Bombyx mori: one gene and its partners. The main gene of each other region encodes a partner of the protein of the gene in region 3 in a complex. Links are inferred from orthologs where the notes say so. Each region holds a gene or a part of one and is shown on either strand. Other genes may lie near its edges.

Evidence for each region.
Region 1: WASH complex subunit 5 (region 3) and WASH complex subunit 1 share a complex: the UniProt entries of both Homo sapiens proteins name them as parts of the WASH core complex. The link is inferred for Bombyx mori from reciprocal best matches to the Homo sapiens genes WASHC5 and WASHC1.
Region 2: WASH complex subunit 5 (region 3) and WASH complex subunit 3 share a complex: the UniProt entries of both Homo sapiens proteins name them as parts of the WASH core complex. The link is inferred for Bombyx mori from reciprocal best matches to the Homo sapiens genes WASHC5 and WASHC3.
Region 4: WASH complex subunit 5 (region 3) and WASH complex subunit 4 share a complex: the UniProt entries of both Homo sapiens proteins name them as parts of the WASH core complex. The link is inferred for Bombyx mori from reciprocal best matches to the Homo sapiens genes WASHC5 and WASHC4.

What each region holds. Positions count from the first base shown.
Region 1 is NC_085123.1:3,001,290-3,004,860, reverse strand, and holds part of WASH complex subunit 1, read left to right. Parts: exon of another isoform or gene 1-1,401; intron 1,402-1,479; 5' UTR 1,480-1,516; coding exon 1,517-1,891; intron 1,892-1,973; coding exon 1,974-2,273; intron 2,274-2,356; coding exon 2,357-2,694; intron 2,695-3,571. UniProt on the Homo sapiens protein: Acts as a component of the WASH core complex that functions as a nucleation-promoting factor (NPF) at the surface of endosomes, where it recruits and activates the Arp2/3 complex to induce actin polymerization, playing a key role in the fission of tubules that serve as transport intermediates during endosome sorting.
Region 2 is NC_085118.1:943,074-946,853, forward strand, and holds WASH complex subunit 3, read left to right. Parts: upstream 1-1,488; 5' UTR 1,489-1,637; exon of another isoform or gene 1,638-1,684; intron 1,685-1,771; 5' UTR 1,772-1,844; coding exon 1,845-1,901; intron 1,902-2,058; coding exon 2,059-2,223; intron 2,224-2,606; coding exon 2,607-2,879; 3' UTR 2,880-3,252; downstream 3,253-3,780. Other genes in the region: pre-mRNA-splicing factor SPF27, read right to left, coding at 254-328. UniProt on the Homo sapiens protein: Acts as a component of the WASH core complex that functions as a nucleation-promoting factor (NPF) at the surface of endosomes, where it recruits and activates the Arp2/3 complex to induce actin polymerization, playing a key role in the fission of tubules that serve as transport intermediates during endosome sorting.
Region 3 is NC_085117.1:11,760,663-11,764,757, reverse strand, and holds the start of WASH complex subunit 5, read right to left. Parts: upstream 2,863-4,095; 5' UTR 2,781-2,862; coding exon 2,659-2,780; intron 1,676-2,658; exon of another isoform or gene 1,670-1,675; coding exon 1,567-1,669; intron 1,198-1,566; coding exon 1,006-1,197; intron 1-1,005. UniProt on the Homo sapiens protein: Acts as a component of the WASH core complex that functions as a nucleation-promoting factor (NPF) at the surface of endosomes, where it recruits and activates the Arp2/3 complex to induce actin polymerization, playing a key role in the fission of tubules that serve as transport intermediates during endosome sorting.
Region 4 is NC_085118.1:10,736,404-10,739,974, forward strand, and holds part of WASH complex subunit 4, read right to left. Parts: coding exon 3,028-3,571; intron 2,505-3,027; coding exon 2,298-2,504; 3' UTR 1-2,297. UniProt on the Homo sapiens protein: Acts as a component of the WASH core complex that functions as a nucleation-promoting factor (NPF) at the surface of endosomes, where it recruits and activates the Arp2/3 complex to induce actin polymerization, playing a key role in the fission of tubules that serve as transport intermediates during endosome sorting.

The DNA of each region.
Region 1 (3,571 bases), on a different chromosome or scaffold from region 3:
ATGCTAACTATAAAGGTATACTAGAATATCCTGGAGAATGGAGTGAGCCAAGTTTTGTAAATTGTACAAGCAAAGAACATGTGACACTAACTCTTATTTTAATGGGAATATTTATGATAATTGGTATTATGTATGGTTTTATTAAATGTTACAAGAAATACCGAAAAATGGAAGATATTAAACCAGTTTTACCAAGTGGACTAGGAGTCCCCGAAAAGGATATTTCGAAATATGCTATTGGTGGTTGGAATCCTACAAACAAGGATGAGAAACCATCTTCAGACGAAATGTTGCTATTACCAAATAGTAGAACCACTGTATCTTCAGAATTGAAACAGAAAGAAAACAATAACAGTGCTTCTAGTGATCACACTGATAGTACAGCTTTATCAGATACATCACATGGGCCTGTAGAAAGACAAATCTCCTCATCTGATGATGGATCTAATTCATCACTACATCTTGAAGTAGAACCTACGAGAACAGCTGACAGTAACATCGATGGCGAATCATGCAATTCCGAAACTGAAACATCACAAATACCGTCACCATTCTTTAATGATAATACTTTCAAGAAAAATCCATGTGGCTATGTGCAACAATCTGTAGTGAGTCCTAATACAGGATATGTTCAAAGTGTTCAAGCAGGCGTTACAAACCCACCACAACCCTCATCACTCAGTGCCAGCTCTAGTTATGTAATGGCAGCTCTGTCTCCACCTATATTTACGACACGTGTTGCTCAACCTTGCGTAACGAGTTCACAATCAGCAGGAGGCTATGTGCACCCTGAAGGTGCTCAAACTATATCAGCAATGAATTTCCCGAAATTGGGGCAGACAACGAACAAACTGTTTGGTCCTGAAAGCTTGCCAACAATGCAAACCTTGCCACCAGCGAAACACACTGCAGACAGCAGCTACATTCAACTGCAATCTCTAGATTCCTTGCCCAGACACAAACATCCTGCCCGAAGTACAGTGCCATTAAAGACGCCAGCGTCTACCGGCTACGTCCGCCAAGGTGACGCTGTTATTAATAAGCACCTGAATAATATGCTATCAGGTGTTCATTGTGGCGAAGAATCGGCTATTTTGGATCCTGCAATGTCGCCTGACGCGTACTGCAGATTTTCATGGAGTACCGATCCAGCCAATGACAACATTCATTCGTTACTCGCCGATTCGCCTAGATTAAATTCATCGAAAAACGGAGTCAATCATTAGTGATATATATATATATTTAATTTAGTAACCAAGATGTAAATAATTGACTTTAGGAGCTTTATAACGTGCTATAAAAATTGGACATAATATTATTTTACATTTGGGAATGAATGTGTCTAGTGATAATTCTTGTGCCTTATTAATTTATTTTAGGTGATCATAGGAAGCTTTATAGGTAAGAGTCATATGTTTAAAAACAGGAGAATTTAAAGCGGTTTTAACAGAATCTTATGGACTAATTGGTTTGTTACAGATCTTGATATAAAGTATTCGCTAAACAAAGATTAATTATGGAAGGTATTTACAAAATTAATCTTGTGCCAAGCGACTTGAGCACTGAAGAAGCCATCCTTCAGATTGCTGACACTATTGATAATCTCAATGGGATAGTGGAAGACGTGTTCTCTCGCTTAACGCGGCGAATCAAGCAGAATGTAGATAAAACCGCAAAATTGAATGAACGCATCGAAAACTCTAGGCTTAAAGTTGAAAAACTGACTGGAATGCAGAGAGCCATCAAAGTGTTCTCGAGTGCAAAGTACCCGTCGTCAATAACGCACGAGCATTATCGATCCGTCTTTGATTTGGAAGGCTATCAACATGTGCCTAAAAATGTTAAACTGAGTGCTAAAACTCGGGGGCCATCTGATGATAAAAGAATACAGGTAAGAACGCTTGTCTTTGTCGAAATAATGTTCGTTCAAAATTTCGAGTCATAATTGTTATTGTCATTAATTGATCTCGTAGGAGAAGCTACACTTCTATCATGTTAAAGTTGCGGAACCTAATTCACTCAAGCCCGATGAAGATTTTAGTTTGAACGCTGTTATTGATAACCTGGAAACCATCGGTGAACTTTTAGTATTTAACACCGATGAAAGCCCTTACTTCGGTGTTACCTCTAAAACACCAACCTACAAACCGGTCATCAAGAAATCGAATATTGAAAATAAGAGTCTAATAGAAGCGGCACCTTCGTCTATAATGAAGAAAGACGTCTTGAAGCGCGAAGTAGACGAATACATGTACGCACCTGGGATGGGAATGGTAAGTGAAAGTAGCAAATGTTATTCGGTTGATGGATGCTATGACAAATCGGAGCGTTTTATAACACTATAAAAATTAAACAGGTACCCGAAATGGAGATGCCGTTGGATTTACCGCATCTTCCAGGAATCGCTGAGGACATACAATATACTATCGCGACTGAAGGGTCTATAGCCCCGTCTGTCGTGACGTCACCGGTCACGCCGATCATCGCCATTCCTGAGGTGGAATTACCAGAGTTGCCCGATCTAAAGGAACTACCTGACGTGAAACCAGAGCCCGTGGCTATACCAGATATACCGGACGCTCCTCCGTCACCGGTTCCTGTTAGTGTGCAAGCGTTGCCACCACCGCCGCCCCCGCCACCGCCTCCGCCCCCGCCGCCGCCTATGAAGGAAGTAGAGCTCACACCATCAAAACGGTAAGATTTCTCATATTTGATTAATTTAATCTAGGACAAAAGAACACTTTTGCATACAAATTTCGAGTATTGATGAGGATAATCGTGTACATACTTACCAAACTTATTTTATTTGTTGCGCAACTTTAGGAAATGTTCGACCTCTTTCAAAGTTTTTGCATGATATTGCGGCCCTTCATAAAACTAAAAGCGGGGGCTACAGGACTCTCAGGTTGAGAAACAGTGTACAAGACAATTCTAAAGCAATAAAAACCGTGGAAGCGCAACGTTTTTTGCGTTATTTTACCGTTGATGCTAACAAACCGTGTTGTATTTTAACCTTTGACGGGCCACCGTAATTGTATTAATTACTTACATACACGCGCCATACAACGGATCGATCCATTGAAACTGTGTACACAGTAAACACGACAAAAACATTAAGATTAATTTGAATGTCCATATATTTATCTCTCTCTCTCCTTGACCTTTCGGTCATTTGTGTGAAATCTGATTGGTTATATCATTAATAACAATATTTCTAAAAACTACAAAATTTGACCATGTGTATTATTATAAATCCTGTGATTATTTTTATATAACTAATGAATGCCAATAAAGTTAAACAATCCCAGGTCCAATTTTCCAAGTAAGTAATCGGTTTGCAGTTGGGTTATATTACCTATTTAACGCGGCGGGCTTCGTTGTGTGAGTCTTTTTAAGTCAACCCTACATACGGCCATGAGCTTCTCAAGTTTGCCACTTCTTCTTAGCACTGTGCTCAAAGTCCTTTAGTACCCCAAAGATGGTAGCGTACAAAATAACCTTAGTACGATGAGCCAAGGAATGTTCCGTATTTTTTCTTCAGAATCGTATCTCGAAGGCGCTAATGCAGACC
Region 2 (3,780 bases), on a different chromosome or scaffold from region 3:
CCTTCGAAATAGCATACATGTTCAAGAAACAACGAAAAAAAAACATTTTTATATAAATCTCTCAGCGGTGACTGCGCATTTTGAAGCAGACGAGAATATAACCCACATTTGTGAAGTGTGGTCGTTCAGACCAGCAATACCAAAATGATTATTGAATTTCTTTCTCTAGATGTCAAAGCTAAAGCGATATGAATCTTTGTTGTAAAGGAAATGGTCCAAGAATTAAAAAAAGTAAGGTTATCATAATACTTACAGCTTCTCTTACTCCAGGATCGTCATATCCTTGGTCTATATATGGTAATGCATCTACGACAACTTCTCCTGCCATTTTCTACAAAATTTATAACTCCCTTTACTACGAATGGGTACTGTGATTTATCACTTTATATTAAAGTTTTAACGCTGTTCTTTGTTTATTTGATTTTAGTTGTGTCACTTGTGTGACATTCTTCGTTTGAGCTAGTTTTAAGCCTAAAATGAACAGGCAAAAGAAATATAGTCCATATAGCTAAATCTTTTGAATTCCTCGATATTCAATAAATTGATATTAAATTAATATTATATTATAAAATGGAATTTAATGAAAGAAGAACACATCGAGTAGATATTAGATGAGTTGATAATGAAACAATGGTGCTTACTGAGAGATCAACGAACTTATTTTGAAAATATTCTCGAGTGGCAGCCACACACGACGCAGCTTAGATAGACTTTCGACGAGGTGAACTGACGTCCTACTGAAAGTCGCAGGAATCTAATAAATACGGTCGCTGCACGTCTAGGAGTGGATGATTTGTGTGAACACGTCCAATGTTTGTTTGATTTTTTAAAACTTGTGCCATTTCACATGTATTCAGTGATTAAAAAGCTTTCATTACTACAAAATTAGACATTTTATTACAGATACATTCGCGAAGCAGTTGCCCTTAGCTGTTAGATCTCCTACGGAGTCGTGGCCAGGTCAGGCCTTCGGTACTTTGGAGGATTGGCTTGTGCGGCTTTTCGAAGCCTGCCTTGAGCCCGGACGGAAATCGGACAGATTCATCCTTCTGAGGAAAGAGGAGCTCCTCTAGGAGTCATCCGTGGTGTACCACCACATCGTGTTGCTGGACGAAACTAGAAAATTGTTGGAGCAAGTCGTGGATGCGTCATCTGCCCCATCCCCAGGACGGGTTCCAATCGGTCAGCCGAACAGTACGGCTTCAGAAAGGGCCGGTCTACCATCGACGCAATCATGCGTGTGTGTACCCTCTTTGATGAGACTGTTGCCCGGGGCGAGGTGGCAGTTTCCTTAAAGTCTCAGTAAATAACCATCATTTTACTTAGATTTCACGCCAATTGATTATTGTTTCAAATTAATCAACTCTATTTCATTTTACTTCATATTATCATTTTTCATAAAATACAATGATAACTTAGGCTGTATCGTATGATACTTTTGCCTTTCCAGTTGGAAAAATAGAACTACTACAAATATTGACAGTGGACAGTAGCACTATTGTCAAAGAATAGTGTTATATTGATAAATGTAAATTAATGATAATAATGTCAGACTTAGGTGGTGGTACCGTACCTACTGTACCTACTGAAATATTCCTTTTAATTTGCTTACATACTCTTTTAACGTAAATAAATAGGTACGACTGTCACGGAAGGAAAAAGATTGTTATTGTAAAATAATTAGGTGCTTTTTATATTAAACTTAGTGTAATTAAAACTCGTGGACCTATTAGTCAATGTATTGAAATGTAATTCAATTTGGTTTTTTCAGTAGAACAAAACAAATTCAAGCTTCCAAACCACAAGACAAATTTCTTTTTCGTCTTGTTTATATTCTACTGAAAATGACCATCCAAGAAGATTTAACTCAATCCGAATCCCCACAAACGGATTTAACTAAGGTTTTAAATTTGGAATTATTATTATTTGTTGTAAAATTTAATGCAGTACAAACTTCACGGCCTTGATTATCTTTATAAACTTCCTAATTCTAGAAAACACAATATTTTTTTATAAATGAGAATAATTTATTTTTAATATTTAAAAAACAAATTGCAGGTTGCGGCATTACATCAAAAACGTACATTGGCATTTGTAAATCATTTCCTAACAATAAATGTACAATTTCTGAATAACTTTATGACGAATTGCGAGCAGAAACTGATGCAGTTTGAGAGAAAATTAGAAAAAGTTAATGCTGCCATGGTTTTGTTAGAATCTAAGGTGATTATATTTTTATAAATTATTGTATGTAAACAAAAACGGATATCTAAAATGTTTTTATTTTCTATCATTAGTCATAATAAACCATTTCTGCAAGACCTTCTCTGGAAAGCTGTTGATTGATCTGATAAAGTAAGAGCAGCCTATTGATATATTTGCAATGCATAAAGCTTCAATTGAATTAAAAAAAAAACGGTCTCCTACCAGATTAGAAATTAGACTACTACTAATTTTAAGATATGGCATCATTGCATTTCACCATAATCCTTATTCAGGTTGTGTTTATGCCATTTCTTTAATTGCCCATGTGCCTCAAAAACTTCATTTTAATTGATAGCATACATCAAACCGATACATAAATAGATAAAACTTATTGATTTCAGTTATCTTCAATACCAGAATTAGACATTCCTAAGCAGACAAATACAAGTAATGTTACAGAGACTGAATCTACTGAAAGTCAAAATGAAACAGAACTCCAAGAAGAAAATCTAGAAAGAAAACTAGAAGACCAAGCCCCAGCAGAAATGAAAACTAAACCTGAATATGATAAATTTGTTAAAATGGTTCAAGTAGGAGTGCCATTGCAGGCAGTGAAACTCAAAGTCTCGTTAGAAGGTCTCGATCCTGAAATACTGGAGCAATTAATAAAATAAAATAATATTTTATTATTTACATTATTGTGTTGTTAGCATAGTATGATCAAATAACCATAGTGTGTAAACCATAGTTTACTTTTATAGAACAAACAATAGAACAGTGTATTCTGTGATACCTCTAATCTAATGGGATCATAAGTGTAAAATTAATAAAATAAAATAATATTTTTTTTTTGTTTAATTGTAATCAACGTATAGTTTAGAAAATATTATCTTTTATCTATAAAAATATCATTCTAATTGTTAAAATTGTAATGTTTTTGTTCTTATCGTTTTAAATAATGTAATAGGCTCAAATATTTAAGTAGCATTCCTTAATATTTTTATGAAATGTTGAAAATGTTGTTTTTAATAAAGGATTTTATAATCATGCAAGATTATTGATCACATAGAGGTGGACCTAGAAAAAAATCATTAAATACTTCTGAAAGTTGATATATGCTTACTATTTTAATTAATTTATTTTGTGAAACATGTTGTATGCGATTTATTCCTTTTTTTGCAAATAAATAGTATTCTTATAGGGGTAGTAGGTGTATTGATTTATGAGAGATTTATTTGACGTAAAATTGGCCATGTCAGTTAGATTGTGTACAATCATGCTACAGAGATACTATTATATTATATTCTAGTAACAATAATAGGCACCTATAGGCATCAAATGTTGTACCATCCTAAGTAATTGCAGAAATAGTTCTCTGCCAGCACCCTGATAATAAATAAAAATAAGGCTGGCCATACCATTAATATTTTTATGAGACATATTAATTAATGCTAAGCATGATTTTTTTATTCCTACTCATAGAAGTTATAGTTATAGTATTACCATACGATGTGGATGGTAATAAAGTATAGGTGCAATAAATGGGAGGTTTTAAGGATGCATCTGGTCCAAAGT
Region 3 (4,095 bases):
TTTTTTTTTTTTTTTTATTGCTTAGATGTGTGGACGAGTTCACAGCCCACCAGGTGTTAAGTGGTTACTGGAGCCCATAGACATCTACAACATAAATGCGCCACACACCTTGAGATACAAGTTCCAAGGTCTTAGTATAGTTACAACGGCTGCCCCACCCTTCAAACCGAAACGCATTACTGCTTCACGGCAGAAATAGGCGGGGCGGTTGTACCTACCCGTGCGGACTCACAAGAGGTCCTACCACCAGTAATTACGCAAATTATAATTTTGCGGGTTTCATTTTTATTACACGATGTTATTCCTTCACCGTGGAAGTCAATCGTGAACATTTGTCAAGTACGTATTTCATTAGAAAAATTGGTACCCGCCTGCGGGATTCGAACACCGGTGCATCGCTAGATACGAATGCACCGGACGTCTTATACTTTAGGCCACGACGACTTCAAAACCTCCTCGTGGTCAACACACGCGAAATAAATAAATGTTTACGTAGTATATCTTTATTCAGAGGTCCGAATGTACACAAGATACAGCTTTCATTTGGTTTCTGAAAGCATACTGGGAAAGCAGAAGAAAAAATTTTGGATTTATTTCAGATTCAGGCGTCAATGTATGCTAACAAAGCTTAAACATATGTTTGCTTGAAAATTTGATCCTTGAAGTTATTTTGTTACATGAGTTACACAATTGTCTTCAGGAACATAAGTTGATTCTAAAATCCACCGCTTAGGGTCTATTCTGGTGCTTGTGTGCTATGCCACATCACTCAGTCACCCTTAAAATTGGTGTTATGCATTTTTTATTTCCATATTTTGCAAGATGGATGGATGGAGAGTTAGAAGGTAGGCCAAATGTCAATAAATAAAGGAATTGACAATCTGTTTAAATATATTAAATCCCAGTTCATTAAATGAGGCCAGTTCAAAAACAGATGAGATTGATTTGTGTAGTTTTGTGTTTAAGAACCACATACTTTATATCAAAACTAATAATATGACTTACCAATAGTTGTTTTCCTTCAATGTCTTTGATAACAGTTTCCATGTTTTGTTGGATGAACGCTTCATCTTGCAATTGATCTATGAATACATTCAGATCAATAATATATTGATATATGTTTTCAAATAGAAAATAAAAACGTGTAATTATTTCCAGATAGTTTTCCTTTAAATCATCATCTAAATCTTGCAGTTTCTGAAAACAGTATCTTTCAGCAAGGAAATAATTTAACAATTTAACAATTATCCTTAACTTATTACGTTTACTTTAAATAAAAATAGTCAATTGCTACTACCTGATCACATTTTTACTTATTAACAGTACGATTCTGCTTAATGCTGGGCATATGTTTCATTAAAGTAGAGCTTAGAGAAGCCTAATGCTATGTGGAATTTCAGGGAATTCCACAATTCAAATAAATGAGTGTTACTCAAACCTAAAAAGGGTTAAGCAGGCTCTTATTGTATATTTGATTAAAAATAGTACATTGAGCCTCACACAAAGGACAAAAGTCTGCTTTTTTATCTTGAAAAATATATAATGATTTCTTTGAATAATACTTACAGAATTCACATTAATCTTAGCTTCATGGGCATCAGATATTCTAAAATAACTGAAATCCAATATCACATCTTGGTACTTTTGTTGTATTTCTCTACTTTCCAATCTGTAATAGCCAGGGAAAGAAATGGTTTCAAAACAAAGAAACATTTTAAATAAGTCTTATAAATGAGTCGTCTATTATCAAAGGTAGCAATCTGTGCATTTGGACAAAAAAATGTTATTGATATGTCAATACAGATTGATTTGAATATAATCGTCTCCTTCAAAGAATACGGTTCAAAACCTGCATTAAATAAAGGTTAATACTTAACCTGTTATTTATCTAAGATGTCGTTCAGAAGAGTTTTGTGACTGCCAATAGAATACAAAGTCAATAATTCGTTTTTCTGATTTACCAATAATTGTCCAAAAGTCACATTGCCGGCTTTGATAATAGTCGACTCAAATATTATATAAAGGGGTGAAAGGCTTATTTGTTTAAGCGACATCTTTGAAATTTTATAGGAGAGCTATTTGAGTTTATTTAATGCAGGTTTTGAACCATATTCTTTGAAGGAGACGATTATATTCAAATCAATCTGTATTGATATATCAATAACATTTTTTTGTCCAAATGCACAGATTGCCACCTTTGATAATAGACGACTCATTTATAGTTTGAAATTTGGAAAAAACATCAAGTAAAAAAACTTCTTCAGATATTTGAATGTTGTAAACATAATTGAAGTTTGTTTAAAAATATTGAATTGTTATAAGATAAAAATCGCGTATAGCCTACCACCCCTCGATATATAACATTACATTACATGTGTAGATTGCAAGATTCCATTGCCTAATAAATTCATTTTGAAAATAGGCCTAATCTTTGAACAATTTGATAGACAACGACAATTATTTTAACACAAGTATTACGTACCTACCAATTACTGGTGTTAAGACGAGTAGGAATCACCATCCTACCTATATGTTATTATGCCATAAAGCAACTGTGTGTTTCGTATTGAATAGAGAAACGGTCGTTCTACTATATATGGGCCACGAGCTCATCAAGGAATCTCTACATTATTAATAATAAACTATTAAAATACTCACAAGTAAACTTTTGGATTATGGTCTTTGAGTCTAAGTATTTCCGCAATTATAGCATTGCCATGAGAAATTAATTTGAGAAGGTTTTGAGAACAAAGGTTGTCTTCGGACATAAACAGTTTCATAATTTTAATGTAGCTACCGTATTTGATAAACACAATCACAAGAATTATTCTATACCTACCTACCTTACATACCTTTATTTTTCCAATTGGAAAGGCAAAGGTATCATACCATCCAGCCTAATCTTTTATATATATTTTTTATCTGAAAAAATATTTTATGAAATGAACTTGATAAATATGAAACATGGTATGAAATGAAATGAAATGATATGAGATGAAATATACTCTCAGTAAAATGGTGGTTATTTACTGAGACTTTTTAAGTGGACTTTTTGGAGGATCCCAAGAAGTTACGTTCAGCGGGGCTCACTAAATTTGGCCCGCCTTTTTTTGATTTTCGGTTTATTTTTATTTTTAATTATTTGTTCGTCGTTTGTTCGTTAATGTTCAAATGCAAAAATTGTTTGTTCGTCTTTTATTTATTTATAATTAATTAAACAAATGATCACCCTTAAGTTGCCACCTCTTACTAGATATCTTTATTTTTATCGCTCAGATTAATTAATTTTGATAAGTTATCGTTTGTTCGATGACTATTGGTGATTGTTCGTTCATAAAAATAATTAAATTCCCAATTATTAATTATTTTATATCTAATAAGCAAACCATCACCTCACGCCTACAATGCGCATGTGCCGGTTTTGTCAGTCAGCTGGCAATGGCCGTGTTTACTAGCGTTTTGTTAACAAGTGCGTTTATACTGCTTAATTATTTCATAAGTAGATCGAAAAAATAATGATAACTTCAACAATACTTCAACAAAAAAATGTCAGTGAAGACGGCCAACTAGTCGTTAAAGTACGATTAGCGCGGGTTAAATAAATTGTTGTGTTACAGTGTTGTTTCAATTAAAAATCAACATGTCATTAATAAACTATTAATTTGTACAGTAGTTGAATTAGGCTTTGCTAATTTTGTGGAAGATCTGTTAAAACTGGGTACTAGACTAATAGTCCCAACAAAAAAAACCCTAATTCTGATTATCCTAGTAAGGATATCGGGTCTGTCTGCTTAAAATAATTTTGTGGTCGACGAAGTGAATGCGACATTATGATATGATGCTGTTATGACAGGCTGCTTCTGCGAAAATACGACTTCGAGAATTGGGATTTAGTTTAAATATGTCATCACTATTACTCTATCAATATTTTTTTCTTTCACATCTGTACGCCGCTCTCATATTTTTTAATTTCTTTAAATTGTCACGTTCTTTTCAAATTTTTAGTAACCTTTTGTAAGCATTGTAAATGTTTATTTTTGAGCATCTCAGCTGCTATACTACTTGTGAGATGTATCCCACAAACATCGAAAATCG
Region 4 (3,571 bases), on a different chromosome or scaffold from region 3:
AAGAAATGGGCTTTTCTTTATCAAGACGACCTTTGCACTCTTCCCATTCACGCAGCGTCTTCTGTTCGATTTTACGACTCATCATGTGGATGAGAAGAGTGTCCCAATGATCAGTCGGTTCGCCTAGCGACTCTAAAGCTCTCAGGCTTTTATTCAGCTGATCTATGAAACGTCTTAAATTAAACGAAGATTCACTCTTTATTGCGTCTATATTAAATAAATTATTAACATGTGTTTGAATTAATAGGCGCTTATTATCGTACCTCTCACATAACAGCTTCCACGCCACAGAATAGTTGCTGGCAGAGAACTGAATCTCCTGAAGTAGTACAGCAGCAGAGCCTTCTAGCGAGGCCCTGAGGTAGTGGAATTTATTAATTTCTCCTATCGCCTCGTTCGAATGTATAAGACTACTGAAGGTGTCATGGAATTCCAACCAGTTGTTATATGAACCATTAAATTTGGGTAGGTTAATGGTAGGTAATTTAACCAGGTGATGATTGCTCACATGAGAACAACTCTCAAAACTATGCGCATCGGTTTGTAACAATTTAGAATTACGAGAAAGAATCTCCTGAGCCTGTGAAAGGGATTTGTAATAAATCGATTCGAAATCTTCTCTCTCTGTGCTTTGCGAGCTGAAATCGTCAGCGAGGCATTCTATTTTAGTTTGTACTACGTCATATTGTTCAAATAATAATTCGATCTTACCAATTCTTAATTGCAATTCATTTACTTGTTGCTGATTCAACGTACCGCTCAATTCCTCGATGTACTTTCGGAATGTAGTCAATCGGCCTTTTAGACTAGCTCGTTTTTTAACTAGCTCTTTTTGATCTTTCTCACTCATTTTGGAAGTATTTGGGCAGAAGCGGGCTAGTTAATCTGGCATTGATAGAAGTTATAATTGAAAAATTGAGCTATAATGACAACTAAAATGAACTATACAGTCACACTTATCTACGCACCTATAATTAATAATTAAATAATAATTTTACAAGTGTGAGAGACATAGACTATTACCAAAAAAATGCCAACAAAAACACATTAAACAAACCACATAGTTAACCCAGCTTGTAATATGATAAATATAAATAATCTAAACAAAAAACAGAGTAATGGGTTACACATCACTAAATTATGTCCTGAATATCAAACTTTGATCACTTCCCTTATTTCCTGGGTATCTCGGCTCGATGGACCATGTAGCGGACGGTTTCTTATTTAGATATTTATATTTGTGAGGAGGAAGATTTTTACAATAAAATAAAATTATGATGCGACTTTCATGGCTGACAGTTTATTCCATAATGACTTTAGAAACAAAATTTAAAAATTATAAAAATATAAATGACAGCTCTGTTGCTTTGCAACTAAACTTTTTACTGCGGTGCCAAACACTGTTCGAAATATAACAAGTAGGTCGCAATAAATTGATAAAATATAATTATTTTACAATTCAGATATATTAGATTAATATTTGCGGTATGTGACAAAAAACAATCTAAAAGCATTTAAAGATGATCATTATAAAATGTGAGTGCAATACTTTTTGGAATTTCTTTATATATTTTGAAATTTTGCTATTGTAACGTGATGACGTAAACCATAAATGACGCACCACAGTGGTCCATGTATTAAACACCTCCTTCTACTCTACAATTACAGTGTAAGATAATAATATCTCATTAGAGTTTACCTCATGACATTACAAATATATCGGTTCAAAGGGTGGGGCAGCCGTTGTAACTATACTGAGACCTTAGAACTTATATCTCGAGGTGGGTGGCGCATTTACGTTGTAGATGTCCATGGGCTCCAGTAACCACTTAACATCAGGTGGGCTGTGAGCTCGTCCATCCAACAAAGCAATAAATATATATATATAGAAATTAGAATAGCCTGAACGAAAGGGGTAACAGAAATCGTTGAGTCACTGTTACTTAATTAAATTATTATTTATTAACCGAAAATACCTTCAAGAAATAATGTTTTTTTTGGTCCTTATTAAACTCAATATGTTATTATATTAGATAAATATTTCCGTAGCTTTTTTTATAAGAGTTCATTTGTTGATTTTTAAATTGAACAAGAATGACAACACTTTTCAATCAAAATCAGCAACATTTGTTTGAATCCCTATTGTCAAGATGGTGCAGCGTGGATCTCCAAACGAACGCTTCAGGTAAGCCGTCTCAGCTATAGTGCTTACGATTTCGTCCGGACTTAACCCAGCATATGCCTATTAATAGTTTAAATAGAGTAGACTTCAACACTCATCGCCGACTTTAAATAATTTAACGAAAAAATATTCTGGCACTTGTAAGACTGTAATAGAGGAGTTTGTACTCTTCTTCTAATGTTTTTATTTTCTTCTCGGTCAATGCTAAGGCTTGTTGTAATTGAATGGTTCCTTTGTTTTTCTGTTCTTCTAGTAACTTTCTTTCGTCATCAATGTGTTTCCATACTGATTCAAACCAGTGTAGAGATTCAAAATTAGAATCCTAAAAAAAATAGGTTCAATATTAATATGTACTTGAGAAGGAAAACTATTTTTTTTTGTTATGAAAGACTGACAATCCTTTTGCACCCACGATGGAAAGTGATTTCGGTCTGATCCATATTATACTGAAGCGGTAACAATTGTTTTTGTCTCAGATTTGTTTCTAGCAGTGCTTTCCTAAATCGGAATTGCAACCCGCCGAGAAACTCAGTGTTCGATTTGTGTCTGTGGGCTACATTGCATATGAACTCTTCTCATCGAGAAAACCTCGTGCTAGCTCACATTATGTCATTCTCATTAATAATTATTAATGTTAATTACATAGAGTGATAAATTTAGCGCGCTTAGTTTTGCGATTTAGATTTACATTAGAAAATTTTAATTCTTTTAATTTCTTTTACATAGACAAATGTGTTGTAACATAAGGTAAGGTTGGTATATATGGATGAATCGAATGGGGACATGAAGAGTGATCGTCATGAGTGTTGCTATAACTCATAAGCAGATGAAATTGTTAACATTACCTGATCTAGTAATTTCAGTATGTAAGCAATTCCCATAGCAAAACCATCATCAGTAAAAGCAGCTCCTATTTTATTCTTTTTCGACATTTTATCTTTCGACAAGATTAGATGTTCCACAAAATTAAGTGTCAATGGAGGAACAATAATATAAAAATTCTTCAAATGAACATTCTTAGGATTTCGGAAAACGGGTGAGAACACGTCTACCAGCAGCTTGAAATATTCAGTTCCTTGAATAAAGTTGGAAATAAGGTCGTTTGTGTTCTGATCTAGAATTTCCGCTGATTGAACAGTCTGGGGCCCAAGAGCCTCTTTTTGGCATAGTTCTTTGAAATTAACAACATCTTCCAGATTTGGCAGGAAAACAGTCGCATCCGAACAGCAATGTCGGCCGCCTGACCTAATCATCCTAACATATCCCATGGCGTTTCCAATTTGACTAATAAGATCTCGAAACAGATCTAAGTAACTCTGTCCATCCTCTGAAAGTCCCAACACCTTTATACCCTTGTTAAATCTTTCTGCATTTTTAAATGGATACATG